Linked DNA regions of Oryctolagus cuniculus. The protein of the gene in region 2 purifies or fractionates together with the protein of the main gene of each other region. This does not show direct contact. Links are inferred from orthologs where the notes say so. Each region holds a gene or a part of one and is shown on either strand. Other genes may lie near its edges.

The links.
Region 1: the proteins of TFDP1 (region 2) and E2F2 purify together in Homo sapiens (affinity purification with mass spectrometry; 3 studies listed by BioGRID and IntAct, with this or other methods). This does not show direct contact. The link is inferred for Oryctolagus cuniculus from reciprocal best matches to the Homo sapiens genes TFDP1 and E2F2.

Annotation. Positions count from the first base shown.
Region 1 is NC_091438.1:147,414,018-147,421,052, forward strand, and holds part of E2F2 (transcription factor E2F2), read left to right. Parts: intron 1-2,257; coding exon 2,258-2,477; intron 2,478-3,661; coding exon 3,662-3,820; intron 3,821-5,773; coding exon 5,774-5,888; intron 5,889-7,035. UniProt on the Homo sapiens protein: Transcription activator that binds DNA cooperatively with DP proteins through the E2 recognition site, 5'-TTTC[CG]CGC-3' found in the promoter region of a number of genes whose products are involved in cell cycle regulation or in DNA replication.
Region 2 is NC_091440.1:499,543-507,176, reverse strand, and holds the start of TFDP1 (transcription factor Dp-1), read left to right. Parts: upstream 1-3,710; 5' UTR 3,711-3,792; intron 3,793-3,803; exon of another isoform or gene 3,804-3,942; intron 3,943-4,138; exon of another isoform or gene 4,139-4,162; intron 4,163-4,535; exon of another isoform or gene 4,536-4,557; intron 4,558-4,772; 5' UTR 4,773-4,833; coding exon 4,834-4,845; intron 4,846-7,634. UniProt on the Homo sapiens protein: Can stimulate E2F-dependent transcription.

The DNA of each region.
Region 1 (7,035 bases), on a different chromosome or scaffold from region 2:
CAGACCATTGCATTGAAGGATTCTAAGGCTCAGCAGGACTCCTGAAGAGTATGCTGATCAATTAGTAATGTCTGCCAAGGGCAAAAAACCTGGCAGAACTCTGCCTGCCAAACACTTGTCATCCACAAGGGTACTTCAAAAAGTTCATGGAGGCAGGCTGGTGCTGTGCCATAGTGTGCTAAGGCTCTACCTGCAGTGCGGCATCCCACATGGGTGCTGGTTCATGTCCCAGCTGCTCCTCGTCCGATCCAGCTCTCTGCTATGGCCTGGGAAAGCACTAGAAGATGCCTCAAGTCCTTGGGCCCCTGCACCTGCATGGGAGACCTGGAAGAAACTCCTGGCTCCTGGCTTCAGATCAGCCCAGCTCTGGCGTTGCAGCCAACTGGGGAGTGAACCAGCAGATGGAAGACCTCTCTCTCTCTCTGCCTCTGCCTCTCTGTAACTCTGCCTTTCAAATAAATAAATAAAACAACAATAAAAAAAAGTTCATTGAGGTACAGCCGGTTAAGCTGTTGCCTGCAATTCTAGCATCCCATATGAACACCAGTTCAAGTCTCAGCTGTGCCACTTCCAATCCAACTCCCAGGTTACGTGCCTGAGAAAGCAGAGGAAGATGGCCCAAGTGCTTGGGTTCAGGTTCCTGCCTGTGGCCTGGTCCAGCCTGGGCTGTTGTGACCACTTGGGGAGTAAATCAGTAGACAGAAGATCTCTCTTTTTCTCTGCCTCCCGGGACACACATTGGTAGGAAGCTCCCTCTCTCTCTGTAACTCTGCCTTTAAATCTTAAACACACACACACACACACACACACACAAGAAGAGGAAGAAGTTCATGGAGGTTGTGGTACAGTGGGTTAAGCCACTGCTTGGATGCCCACCTCCCATATCAGAGTGCCAGTTCGAGTCCTGGCTCCTCCACTTCCCATTCGGCTTCCAGCTAATGGGACTATGGTTCAAGTTCTTGGGCCCCGGTCACCTACGTGGGAGATTCAGATGGAGTTCTGGACTCTTGGCTTTGGCCTGGCCCAGCCCTGGCTCTTGTGGGATCTGGGGGAGTGAACTAGTGGATGGAAGATGGATCTCTCTCTCTGCCTTTCAAATAGATGAAAATAAATAAGCTTTTTTTTTTTTTTAATCTACTTATTTGAAAAGCAGAGTGGCGGAGGGAGGCAGAAGCAGAGAGAGAGAGAGAGAGATCACTTATCTGCTTGTTCACCTCCCAAAGGACCACAACAGCCAAGGCTGGACCAGGCCGAGGTCAGAAGCCAGGAGCTTCTCCCATGTGGATGACAGGGGCCCAAGTAGTTGGGTCATCTGCTGCTGCCTTCCCAGGAGCATTAGCAGGCAGCTGGATTGGAAATGGAGCAGCCGGGACATGAACCAGCACCCACATGGGATGCCAGCATTGCAGGTGGCGGCTTTACCCATAATGTTTGTGGGAAATAGAATTAAAATACAAGTTTATTTTGGTAAAAACAAAACAAAACAAAACAAAAAACAACCACCCTGAAACCCCTGCCTAGCTTTTTCATCACGTGCATTGGCCTGAGCCCATACAAGCCCCCTCATGTGTGTTAGGGATTCTGAGTCCCTCTCTGCGGAATCTCACACTCTGTAAAAGTCAGGTTCCAGAACTCGTTGGGTCACTGGCCTGCTGTGTCGCAAGAGTCCCCTTGTGGTCTGCGATGCTGCAGCTGAGATGTGGTCTTGTGACATCAACTCATTAAGAATGGGACCTTTTTTTATGAACCTGCCACAGCTGATTCCTCTCAGATAAACCTGAGCGCCCCACGGAAAGTAGCAGCAAGTGTGCATCTGTGAAAACCTGAAATCCAGCCTTATCACCACCTCCCTACCCCAGCTGCAAATTCCTGACCTATCTGGCAGGGCAGGGTAAGGGTTTAAAAGGAAGACACTGGAGCCAAAGCGCCTGGGTTTGAATCCCAGCTTGGCCAGTTTCGAGCTGAGCGAGCCTGTCTCTGTCTCAGTATTGGCATCTGTGAAATGGGCACAGCACGTTGTGAGGGTAACTTTGCTGGAGTGTGGACCGTGGGAGCGGCAGTGGCTCGCAGGCGGCAGGTGGTACAGGTGTCACAGGTGTCACAGGTGTTGGCCAGGCTGCTGCCAGGCCTCAGGAGAGTCGCTCTGTCTCGGGAGCCAGGTTGGTGGTGTGCTTCCTCGCAGCACTCTGTCAAGGGGGTAGAGGGTGGCGAGAGGTGGGGCTGGCCCCCCTCAGTTGTGCCTGCGCCCCGTCCTCAGCGCCCAAGTCCCCCGGGGAGAAGACGCGATACGACACGTCGCTGGGGCTGCTCACCAAGAAGTTCATTTACCTGCTGAGTGAGTCGGCCGATGGGGTCCTGGACCTGAACTGGGCGGCGGAGGTGCTGGCCGTGCAGAAGCGGCGCATCTACGACATCACCAACGTGCTCGAGGGCATCCAGCTCATCCGCAAGAAGGCCAAGAACCACGTCCAGTGGGTGTGAGTGCCCGCGCGGGCCATGGGGCCGGTGGTGGGCGGGGCTGGGGTGCCAGTGCCCGCCAGGCTGTGGGGGCTCAGCGGTGGGCGGGGCCGGGGCGGAGAGAGCCCCTGGCTGTGAGGTCAGGGCCAGGGCCGGGGTGTGAGTGCCTGGGATGTGGGGGCCGGGGTGTGGGTGCCGGGGTGTGAGGGTCAGGGCCAGGGCCGGGGTGTGGGTGCCGGGGTGTGAGGGTCAGGGCCAGGGCCAGGGCCGGGGTGTGGGTGCCGGGGTATGAGGGTCAGGGCCAGGGCCGGAGTGTGGGTGCCGGGGTATGAGGGTCAGGGCCAGGGCCGGGGTGTGAGTGCCTGGGATGTGGGGGCCAGGGTGTGAGGTCAAGGCTAGGGCCAGGGTGTGAGTGCCGGGGTGTGAGGGTCAGGGCCAGGGCCGGGGTGTGGGTGCCGGGGTGTGAGGGTCAGGGCCAGGGCCAGGGCCGGGGTGTGAGTGCCTGGGATGTGGGGGCCGGGGTGTGAGGTCAGGGCCAGGGCCAGGGTGTGAGTGCCTGGGATGTGGGTGCCGGGGTGTGAGGGTCAGGGCCAGGGCTGGGGGCAGAGCCACTGCTGGAGAGCTGGGTGGAAGGGCAGGTGCACTCCCTGGAGTAACAGGAGGTGGGAAGCAGGATGGAGATGATCTCCAGGAAAAGCAAAGGCCTAAAAGGACCCCAGCTCCTTCCTCTTGGGTGAGGACTCCCCAGGTCCCCATCTCCTAGCTCAGGGAAGTCCCGGGAAGCTGAGAAGGCCTAACCCAGCCTCCATCTCTGAGACGTGAGGACCAGGGCCTCCTCTTCCCACTCCTGCAGGGTCTGAAAGAGCAGACCTACAGTCCCTGGCGTGGATCCTGAGAGAACCCAGGCAAGGGACTCAGGACTGGGGTCACTGTGGTCCCCTGCCCTTTGGGGGAGGCTGGGCATTAGGGATGGACCGAGTGGAGAGCCCCCCAGAAGCGGGGTTCGGGCCTCGACTTCCAGTTCCAATCCCTGAGAGTGATGGTGACCATGTGATGTACACACCCCGGGGCCACCATCATGCACCTTGACCTGGCCTTGACCTGGAGCTTCACCCCTACCTTCTCTGCAGCCCTGGGGTTGGGGGTGGGACTCTGGGTGTGGATTGACACTGACACTGGCGGTGGGGGGCTGCTCTGTTCCCAGAGGCAGGGGAATGTTTGAAGACCCCACCCGGCCCGGGACGCAGCAGCAGCTGAGGCAGGAGCTGAAGGAGCTGACGAGCACGGAGCAGGCCTTGGACCAGCTCATCCAGGGCTGCTCTCTGAGCTTAAAGGACCTGACCGAGGACAAGGCCAACCAGAGATATCCTGTGCTGTGGAGGGGCCGGCGCAGGGCCTGCGTGTGCTTCTGTCCCACCGCCTCCCAGGGCTCTGGCCATCTGTCTCTTTCTCCGTGGTTTTTCCTCTCAAGCCTGTTAGAGTTACCTTTTCATGATTCAAAATGGGACAAATACATTTTTTAAAGATTTATTAAATTTTTAAAAGACAGAGTTACAGAGAGAGAGAGAGGGAGAGAGGGAGAGAGAGAGAGAGAGAGAGAGAGAGGTCTTCCATCCCCTGGTTCACTCCCCAAATGACCACAATGGCCGGAGCTTCTTCTGGGTCTCCCATGTGGGTGCAGGAGCCCAAGGACATGAGCCATCTTCTGCTGCTTTCCCAGGTGCATTAGCAGGGAGCTGGATTGGAAGTGGAGCAGCTGGGACTTGAACCAGTACCTGTTATGGATGCTGGCACTGCAGGCAGCAGCTTTACCTGCTACACCACAGTGGTGGCCCTGAGACAAGCACACTTCTCTTTTTCTTTCTTTTTTTTTAAGGTTATTTTTATTTATTTGAAAAGCACAGTTACAGAGAGGCAGAAGTAGAGAGAGACAGAGAGAGAGAGGTTGGTCTTCCATCTACTGGTTCACTCCTCAGATGGCTGCAACAGGTGGAGCTGCACCGATCTGAAGCCAGGAGCTTCTTCCGGGTCTCCCATGCAAGTGAAGAATTCCAAGGACCTGGGCCGTCTTCTACTGCTTTCCCAGGCCATAGCAGAGAGCCGGATCAGAAGTAGAGCAGCTGGGACTCGAACTGGTGCCCATATGGGATGCTGGCACTGCAGGCAGCAGCTTTACTTGCTACCCCACAGCACCAGCCCCAAGTATATTTCTTTAAATCTGCAAAATATAGAACAAAAAAGAAGCCGTGGGCTGCCAGCCTAACACATCATCGCTTCCTTACGAGGCTCGGGGACCCTGCTGCACATTGCATTTTTTGTTCTGTTCTTCTCCAATTAATACTGTAGACGTTTGTATTTGCCATTACATATCCACAGGAAAATGCCAGTATGCAATCACGACGTACCCGTGAGAAAGCAACTTCACATGACTCAATCTCTTTTTCACCTGTCTATAAACTGACTTCAGATTGTCTTATAGAATGAGTATGTGGAACAAGTCTAGGTTTCTGCTTTCATAGAGGTGAATATCTTTGTGTGTTGGACATTGCCCCCTTATTGTCACTTATTTCCCTAAATCAGATTCCTGGGATGCAAGCAATGAGGTCAGAGAGCATGGTTTGTGCATTTTCCCAAATGGTTTCACATCTAATTGGCTTTTGGATCTAGCCTGGTATTTTTGGAAGGATGTTAGGCATTGTGAGAAATATAAAGAAGCAAATCTTCCTGTCTTCTCAGAGCTAAGATCTTTTTGAGAGGAAGCCTTTACATAAAAAATTGATATAAGGCAGCATATTTTAAAGATTTTTAATTAATTTATTTAAGAGGTAGAATTACAGACAGAGGGAGAGACAGAGAGAAAGATTTTCCATCTGCTGGTTTACTCCCCAAATGGCCACCATGGCCGGAGCTGGGATGATCCAAAGCCAGGAGCTACTTCCGGGTCTCCCACGCAGGTGCAGAGGCCCAAGCACTTGGGCCATCTTCCAGTGCTTTCCTAGACACATTAGCAGAGAGCCGGATGGGAAGTGGAGCAGCCGAGACTCAATCCGGTGCCCATACGTGTTGCTGGCACCGCAGGCGGAGGCTTAGCCCACTACGCCACAGCACTGGACCCATGGGCAGCATTTGAAAATGATGCACACCTCCTTGGGCTGTCTAAAAGTATCCAAAGGAGCTTATGACATTCAAAGAAGAGGTTACAGTTCTGAGTTATTTCTAAGCAGTGTGAGAAAGCGGGAGTCAGAGGCTTGGGCCCCGCCTGGCATCTGGGGTCTGCACTTTGCCCAGCGCTCACTTTTCTTGACTCTGCCCCTACGCTGGCCTACGTGACGTACCAGGACATCCGTGCTGTCGGCAACTTCAAGGAGCAGACGGTGATTGCCGTGAAGGCGCCGCCGCAGACGAGACTGGAAGTGCCTGACAAGACCGAGGTGAGAGCAGGAGCCCCTGGGGCAGGGTCCTGGGCCGCTCTGTGCGCGCTGCCCTGGCACTGCCCGTGCCAAGCTTCCCTGGGATGTCCGTGCCGCTGTCCGTGGCAATAATGGTGATGTCCAAGCTGGCCAGAAACAGCGAAGGCTGGAAAGGATGGCGCGGACCGGGCACTGGCCTGAGAACGTCTCTGCTGCTGGTTTCTCTGTGCCGTCCCCGCCCCGGCTGCTCGCAGGCGCGCTCACGTGGGCTCATTCAAGCCACCTCCCTACTCACAAAATCCTTGCATGCTGACCGTGCTTGCCTAAAGACCAAAACTCCTACCCTGCCCCAGGGGAAGACGCCAGCTGGCCCTGCCAGTCTCTTCTCTGCTGCCCCAGTCTGGATTTGCTTTGGCTGCACTGACCTGGCTCCAGTTGCTCCCCTGTGCTAAGCTCATCCCCAGGGCGAGATCTCACGTGCGGTTCCCTCCTGCTGAAATGCTCTTCCCTGCTTCTGCCTGGTTTGCTGCTGTGCATCCTACAAGTCTCAGCCTGAATGGCACCTCTTCCTGGAAGCCCTTGGTGATCACCCCAGCTTCATAGCCGCCTGTGGTCTCCTACCACATCTGACTTCCATTCACCAGGAAGATATATATCTATCTTTTAGACGGATTTTATTTATTTGAAAGGTAGAGGGAGACTGAGAGAGCTCTTCCATCCGATGGTTCACTCCCCAAATGGCTGCAGTGGCCAGGGCTGAGCCAGGCCAGAGCCAGGAGCTTCTTCCTCGTCTCCCACCTGGGTGCGGGAGCCCATGGACTTGGGCCATCTTCACTGTTTTTCTAGGCACATTAGCAGGGAGTTGGATCGCAAGTGGAGTAGCCGGGAATCGAACCAGCACCCACATGGGATGCCAGCACTGCAGGCGGTGGCTTAACCCAGTGTGCCACAGCGCCAGCCCTACCAAGATTTTTTTGGCGTCATTACTTTGGCTTCATCCCTTAGAGTGCAAGCTTCGTGAGCGAATTGTCTGCTCTCTCATATCCTGACTCGTCCCCTGGAAGAATGGGCCGCAGGGGTCACTAAGGCCGTGCCACTCCCTGGGAGGCGCTCAGGCCCGGCAGGAGACGAGGCAGACGGACAGCGATGCTGTCTTCCTGGATTGAGC
Region 2 (7,634 bases):
GGGGTCAGCGTGGAACATTGGGGACACTCATGTGCACCCCACTGTGGCTAGTGGAGTTCGTTTCCTGAGCTGGGGACTGCGGGGCCGGGGACAGCTGGCCCAAGGCAGTCATGAGTTCATGAGCCAGGAGCAGCCAGGCCGAGAGGCCTCAGGATTAGCCGATGGCCTGGTTCCACTCATGAGAGTCACCCTCGTCAATGTTCCCACCGTTACCTTCGTGTTCTCGTCATGGACGGGCAAACCCAGGTCTGGAGGAAATCCACTCTGTATCAGAGGAGAGCATTGTTTTAAATCTGAGAGGCAAAGGCGGGGGTGGGGCGGCCACCCACTCGGCCAGTCCCGAATATCCACAGGGACCGGGGCTGAACCCGTTTCCCACGTGGGTGGCAGGGCCGATGCCTTAGCAGGAAGCTGCCTGCCGTCGGGATCTGAACCCAGCACTCTGGCGTGGGTCGGGGGCTTCCTAACTGGTGAGGTAACTGGAGGGGAGGGTCGAGCAGCTCGCCCTGAGTGGCGCGGTAGGTGGGTTTGTGTGAGGAGCTGGACTTGAGTGAAATCACGTGGGTCCCACTGCCCATCTTCCCTCCCAGACGCGCGCGTCCCTCACCGTGGCTGCGCCTGCCTCTCCCAGGAGCTGCCAGGCCATCTTCCTTCCCCGCCCCCACAGGGCACTCCCACCTCCTCTCTGCTTTCCTGGAGCCCAGGCCCTGGCCTCTGCCCCACCTGCTGACTGCCTCACTGCTAACCCACTTAGCCACTCCCTTCCTCTTCAGCCAGGGGCCCAGCAGAGGGGGCCGAGGGCCTGCAGGAAGCCAGCACCGCCCCAGGCCCAGGAGGCTGCACACCTGAGGGCTGTGCATGGAGACCAGGCCGGAAGAGGGCAGGGCGGCCTTCCCCACCCCCTTCTCCCGTCCTCTGACCTCCCCGTCGTCTGACCCCAAGTGGCCAGCATCCCCTGAGGGTGCTGTCCCCGGAGGTCGGGCCCCCGTGGAGGGAGGGCAGAGCCAGAGAGAAGGGAGGGGTGGGGTCCTCAGCACCTCCTCGGGCACAGCATGGGTCCGCCTGGAGCTTTCTCCCGTGGGCGCCAGGCCCAGGTGCTCCCCCGTGACAGGTGCTCGGAGCTCGTCCTGCACACCAGGAGCTCCCTGTCCACCACGCCTGCTGCCTCCCGTCCTCAGCATGGCCTCATGCACCCTCAGCGCACCAGTGAAGTGAGCCAGCACCTCTGGCTCGGGAAACTGCTCTGCTCCCTGCTGGCGTGACAGGAATCACCTCTCCGGTGGAAGCCCCAGGGCCCAAGCGAGGGCACTGGAGGGTGCTGGGCCGATTGGAGGCTCCAGCTGGGCCTAGCGTCCACAGTGCTGGCGGCCCTGGCAGGGGTGGCCTGTGTCACTCCCAGCCGGCACCTCACCCAGCCCTGCTGCAGTGGGCACTCTCCAGTGTGCCCAGGCCCGCGCCTTCTGGCCCACGTCCTCGCTCGCTCACTCTCTCAGGAGCCGGGAGCCCTGCAGGGCAGGCAGACCCGAGAGCGTGTGGGAGAGGAGCGCCTGTCACTTTCGTCTGGTAAAACGCAGAGCCCAGCATTTCTGAGCCGTGGCCGGCACCCTCAGCCGGCATGGTGCCCGTGTGCACCCAGGGCTGGACACCAGCCCCTGGGATGGGATGGCTCAACAGCGACTACGGCTCTCGCCGAGACCAGGCCTCCTGCACGGCCAGGCTCAGAGACGCAGTGTGCCCAGGGGTCAGCTCACCGCAGGGCGTGGGGTCGGCCTGCTCAAGGCTGCATCCCGGGCCCTGTAAGACATCTGCACCCGCCACCCAGAATGAGGGAGCTGCCGCCGACTGTTAGCGAGAGGCAGGCTCCCTGGCGGCTGGGTGTCCTCGAGGAGCTGCCGCTGCTGTGGGGCCCCTGGAGTCCAGCGTGGGTCACCCCGGCCTGTGGGCTCGGGAAGCTTGCTGTCCAGGCCGCTCCACGAGGCTGGGAGGGGGCTCGCTGCTGCTGAGAGTCCCTAACCCGAGTTTAGGGAAAAATAAGATCCTACAAAAGGAAGAGCGAGGGAAAGGAAGAGCGAGGAACACGCACGGCTTTTGAGGACAGAATGCAGGAGACACACTTGCAAATCGGGACTGGCGGGCGGCGGCGCGATCCCACTGCACGGAACACAGGCTTTCCCGGGACAGGAGGATTTTAGGGTTTTGATCTTAGAGGCGGGGGGACGGAGGGAGAGCGGGAGGGACTGCCCCACCCCTGGCTCACTCCCAGATGCCCACGTGGCTGTGCACCAGCCTAGCAGGGCACTCACGTGGGTGGTGGGCACCCAGCTCCTGGGCTCTCAGCACTGCCGCCCACGACTGGAGTCAGGAGCTGTCTTATTCTACTTATCTCTTTGAAAGGCAGAGGGAGAAGGAGTGTGCGAGACAGAGATCTTCAGTCTGCCCACAACAGCCAGGGCTGGGCCAGGCAGAAGCCAGGAACCAAGAACTCCATCCAGGTCCCCCATGTGGTGGCAGAGACCCAGGTACTTGAGCCATCACCTGCTGCCTCCAAGGGTGCAGATTAGGGGTCAGAGGCAGAGCTGGGCCTTGAAGCCCTGTGGGGTTCAGGTGACATGATCAGTGTCCTCATCCCTGGGCCAAACACCGCTCCCCCCAGCCCCATCAACCTTCTCTAAGGACCTACTGTGTGCTAACCAGACAGGAAGGTTTCTGCCACAAAGAAACCGAACTGCTGGCACAGAGGACAGGCTGCCAGGGTGGGGCTCTCCTGGGCAGGAGTGGGTGCAGTGGGTGTGGATGGGGTGGGACTTGGAGGTGTGCAGAGGGGTGCAGGGTGGGAGAGCCCTTGTTATGGCTGTGTGGGACTCCGTGCAGCCTGGGCTCGGGACCGGCCTCCACAGCCTGCCGCCAGCCCTAGGTGACAGCTGTGTCTGCAGGGCAGGGCCCAGTTCCACTCTCCGTGGAAAGGCTGCCTGCCCTGGCGCCCAGGAGGTGTGGAGTCGCTGGGACTCTGTGAGGAAGCCGCCGGGATGCGGAGCAGGGCTGGAGACCTCCCCTCCCCTCCCCTCCCTGCCCAGACACCTGCGCCAGCTCAGCGCCTGCCTCCACCCCTGCATCCATGCAAACCAACGCGCCCAGGACCCTGGTCTGTGCGGCACCCTCGCGCTTGGCTTGCCTCCATCTGCTACTCCTCCACGTGCACACTTGCACCTGACCCCTTCTCCTCCCTGTGCACACGCACTGGTGTACACAGCAGCCCCAGCCCCATGCACACAGGCGAGCACACAACTGGCCCCCTTTTCCATGCACACAGCAAGTGCTCTTGGCCTCCTGCCCTGCAGGTGCCTCCTCTCCACCCCCTACACCCATGTCTCGCCTCCAGCTCTGCCCCCCACCCCGGCCCCCTTGCAGCTCTGTGTGCGCACACACAGCTTGGGTCTCCTCCCACAGTCTCGCTCCGTGCATACACACACACACACACACACACACACACACACTCATGCGCGCACACACGTGGCCCCTCTGACCCGCGCGCGCATCCCTAGCGCCGGCTGGCTCCATCCCGTCCGGCGCACGCGCAGGCTCGAACACGCGCGCACGGCCCTCCCCTCCCCCAGGGCGGCAGCGCCGGCGGGAGGAGCGGGAGCAGGAGGGGCGGAGGAGGAGGAGGGCGCCGAGGAGGAGGAGGGCTCCGAAGGCGCGAAAATGCGCGCAGGCGCGCTGCGCGGAGCGGGCCCGCCGCCGCCCACGTCACCGCGCCGCGCGCACGTCACGCCGGCCCGACGCTCGGCCAGGGTGAGCCCCGCGTCCCGGCGCCGCTGGCCCAGGGCAGGGACCCCGCCAGGGCCGGGAGCGCCGCCCGGCCCCCGCCGCCCGCCCGCGCCCCGCGGCCGTGTCCCCGCGCGGCCCGCGCCCCAGACTGCGCGGCCATACCGGGCGAGCCAGGTGCGGGCGGCGGAGGATGCGGTGGGAGCCGGCGCGACGGGGCCGGGCGAGCGCGGGGCGCGGGCCACGCGGGGCGCGGGCGGGCGGCGGCCCCCGAGCTGCGTCCCCGCCGCGTGCGGGCGCCGCGCGGCCCCGGCCCTCCCGCGCCCTCCGGGCCCCGCGCGCTCCTGGGCGCCGGGGCCCCGCGCCAGGCGCCCTTGCTGCGGGCGGGGGCTCCCAGGTGACCGGGCGGGGCGGGCGGGGGTACGGGGCCTGGCCTCCGGGGCCGATGGCCGCGCCCGCGCCTTGGGGGTCGGGGTCGGGGTCGGGGCCGGGCCGCGCGGGGCGGGGCGGGAGGCGCCGCGGGGCTGGAGTGCGCGCGGTGGCTGCGGCCTAGTGACAGATCGCAGCGGGCGGGGACCCGAGAGCCCACCTGTCAGAGTTACCGGTCGGCGGCCGAGCAGCCCGGCGCGCAGCCCCTGGAGGGTCCGGGGGAAGACCTGGGAACTTGCACGTTTGGGCTGTGCCCTGTTGGGTGGTCGTGTGCGCCTAAGTGGGGGACCCAAGCCCACCCTGCGGAGGCGGGCAGCGCGCCCCGGGCTCACCGCGGTCTCGCCTCCGGACCGGCCATTTGGGGTGCGCGGGGCGGGGGGGTTCCGGGCTGCTCGCGGGGTCTGAGGGTGGCGAGCGCTGCGAGAGCCTTGCGTCCAGGCTCTAGCGAGAAATCTCAGCCGCCAGGCCCTCGTGCAGGCGGGGGAGACGTCTCCTTTAAAGTGGGACATCTTGTAAACTTAGTTTTTCATCCTTGCTCATTTTTCTTTTTTCTCTCTCTTTTTTTTTTTTTTAACCAGAAAAGTCTTTTCTTCCTTGGAGAGTGAATGTTGATAGCATTGGTTTCCTGGACCTGGTAACATGGCAAAAGATGTGAGTACCTTTGCTTAATGCTCAAACACCTGTGCCTGGCACCAGCCCCTCCTGTTTGTGCCTTTGTCAGAGGGGCAAAACCTGAGTTATTAGTATTTCCTGGCTTTTTAAGAGAGGTTGGTTTGTTTATTTGGAAGGGTGAGAGACAGAGGGAGAGCTTCCATTAGCCGGTTCACTCCCCAGATGGCCATATGGCCACATAGCCACATCTGGGTCGGGCCAAAGCCAACAGTTTCATCTGGGTCTCCCAGCCTGATGACAGAGGCCCAGGCAGTTGGGCCATCTTCTGCCCTCCCAGGCGCATTAGCAGGAAGCTGGAGCAGAAGCAGAGCAGCCGGGACTTGAACTGGTGCTCCTATGGGATGCTGGCATTGCAGGTGCCCACTGAACCCTCTGCGTGCCACAATACCATCCCCTTCTCGGTAACTTTTTAAAGTTGGGTGGAGAAATAGGCTCTTAGGTCCAAGAATGAACTGAGTTTCCCATCATGCCGTCAGATTCCCTGAAACGCGGGGTCTTTGCACACTGGTGCAGACGGGCTGCGTGCTCGTCTCCTGCATAGAGCTGGAAGCAGGCTGGTCCTGCTGCCTCTGTGCGCGACTGCAGGTTGGGTGGCTTTGGAGCGCCTTCTGTCAGCTCAGATTTCCCGAACTTCCTGAGCCGCGTCCTCTGTCTGTGCCGGTCAGGGGCTCCCTGTCCTCGGATGCAGGCCTGCGCAGGGAGGCGCGCAGCCCTCCGGGCGCTGTGTGCAGGGTTTTGGTTTGATGTTCATTTTAAAACTGCTGTCATTTGGTTGGTGCCATCACTCCTGGAGGTGCCAACATGTGGCAGGTGCCCCGAAGCAGCTGGACTCCCACAGTTGCCCAGAAAGGGTGGTGCCAGACCCATGCCCAGCCGCATGCTTCTGGTTTCTGGACCAGTTTGCTCTCGTCTCTTTAAATGCTTAGATACTCACTGATGTCATCTTCGAAGCCCTTTGTGGTTCCACGTTGGTGTGGCTGGCACCGTCTGTGTGGCACGGAGAGAGGCGTGGGAGGGAAGGACAGACAGGTGCTGGAGGAGGGGGACCCCGCCACCCCAGCAAGGTCGCCGGGCCAGGGCACGGGCTGTGCTGGCCCCCTAGCTGGTCATCGTTGCATTTGAAGGACTCGGAGTGTGTGCTGTTGGGAGGTGGCAGGGTCTCACGGGCTGAGGAGTGGCTGTGGGGCAGACTGGCAAGGTGGCCTCCGTGTTCTACAGACAAGGGCTGTGCTGGTCCCGTGGCTGGTGACGCTGCTTTCTTGTCATCCACGTGCTCTTAGGCGGTGGCAGGGTCTCACGGGCTGAGATGCAGCTGGCAGGGCAGAATGGCAGGGTGGCCTCCGTGTTCTGCAGACAAGAAGTCAGGGTGTCGGGGACAAGCTGGAAATGGAGGCTGTGGGCAGGTGATGCTGGAGGGTGGATGGGCGACCAGCAAGGGTGAGGGCCCGTGGGGGGCCAGTGGCTGTGTTGTGCACAGGTTGCCTGATGAGGTTGTTGCAGAGTGGGCCCTCTGGTGTGAATTGAGGGGCCCAGAGCCCGCTGGGGGCCCCTAAGCTAGTTTTTGGTGCCCCCTGCTCATCTCATGCGGTGATTTCTGCGGTCATGAGCAGCTTCTGATCGCACAGGCCTCTGTGTGGCCTCTGGGGTGTGTGTGAGGAACGATGGTCTCTGTTCGTCCTCGTCATCCTGTGAGCCCTTTCTGGGCCCGTGGGCCGGGAGGGTGCGTGCTGGCCACAGCCTGTGGTGGCTGCTCCGGGGTGACGGGTACATCAGGGCCGACAGGAAGGAGATGCACTTGGCACCTGCAGGGCTGCCTGAGGGGCTGGCACAGGACTGGGCAGATGGCACTCGACCTGTCTCTTCTCTCGTGGGTATGCATCTTGTGCCCTCTTTTCTGGTTCTTAAATACAAATACGTGCCTATGTGAAAGGAATCTGGTGAAAACCTTGCCGTTGTCTTGTAATAAACACGGAGCTCTGTGACTCCCAGCCGTGTCTGCACACAGCCCTGTGTGTGACGGTTGCAGGTACCCGCATCAGGGTACTTCTCTTGTGAGCTGTCTGTGTGCCCCTCACCCAGGTGCAGTTAAGCAGGCCGCTCCCTGGGCTGTCGCGTTGTGGAGCGATTCCGGTGCTTGGAGATCCTTGTGGCTCTGAGAATGCAAGGGAAATGGGTGCGGGGGTGCAGGGAGGGGAGGGAGGGTGTCAGGGACGCGTCCCTTCCTGTGAGGCGCCGTGTCTGTGCTGGGCCCTGCCTCCCTGGGTTTTGCCTCTGACATTCATTTATGGAGTAGCACTGACACATGTCCCAGGGAGGTGCCCTGTGTGGAGGGGGACTTGGAAGAGAGACACAGCAGCCCCCACAGTGAAGTGACGGAGACCCGAGTCTCATTTCGCCCCAGAAATTGAACAGGAGGGAGTCGCCTTCTGCTATGGGCATTTGGGGCAGGAATTTCCATGTTAGGGGAACCGTTCATTCCCAAGCCTGCGTAGTGACAGCAGGGGCCTGGGTCAGCCCTTCCTTTCCTCTGTGTTCACGCTGGGGGTCCACGCGGCCTGAGCAAGTTCCCAAGCTGTCACCCTAAAGGGTCTGCCCAGCTGCTCACCAGGGGGGCAGCAGGTGCTTGGACCGTTCCCCAGAGCACACTGCAGAGGGGCTGGGAGCAGCGGAGGCACCTGGCCCGGGAGGGGCCTTGGGTGGGGCCGTGGCAGGGAAAGGTGAGGGCTCTCTCTGGAGGTCACAGCCCATGCTTCCTGCCCCCGGAGGAG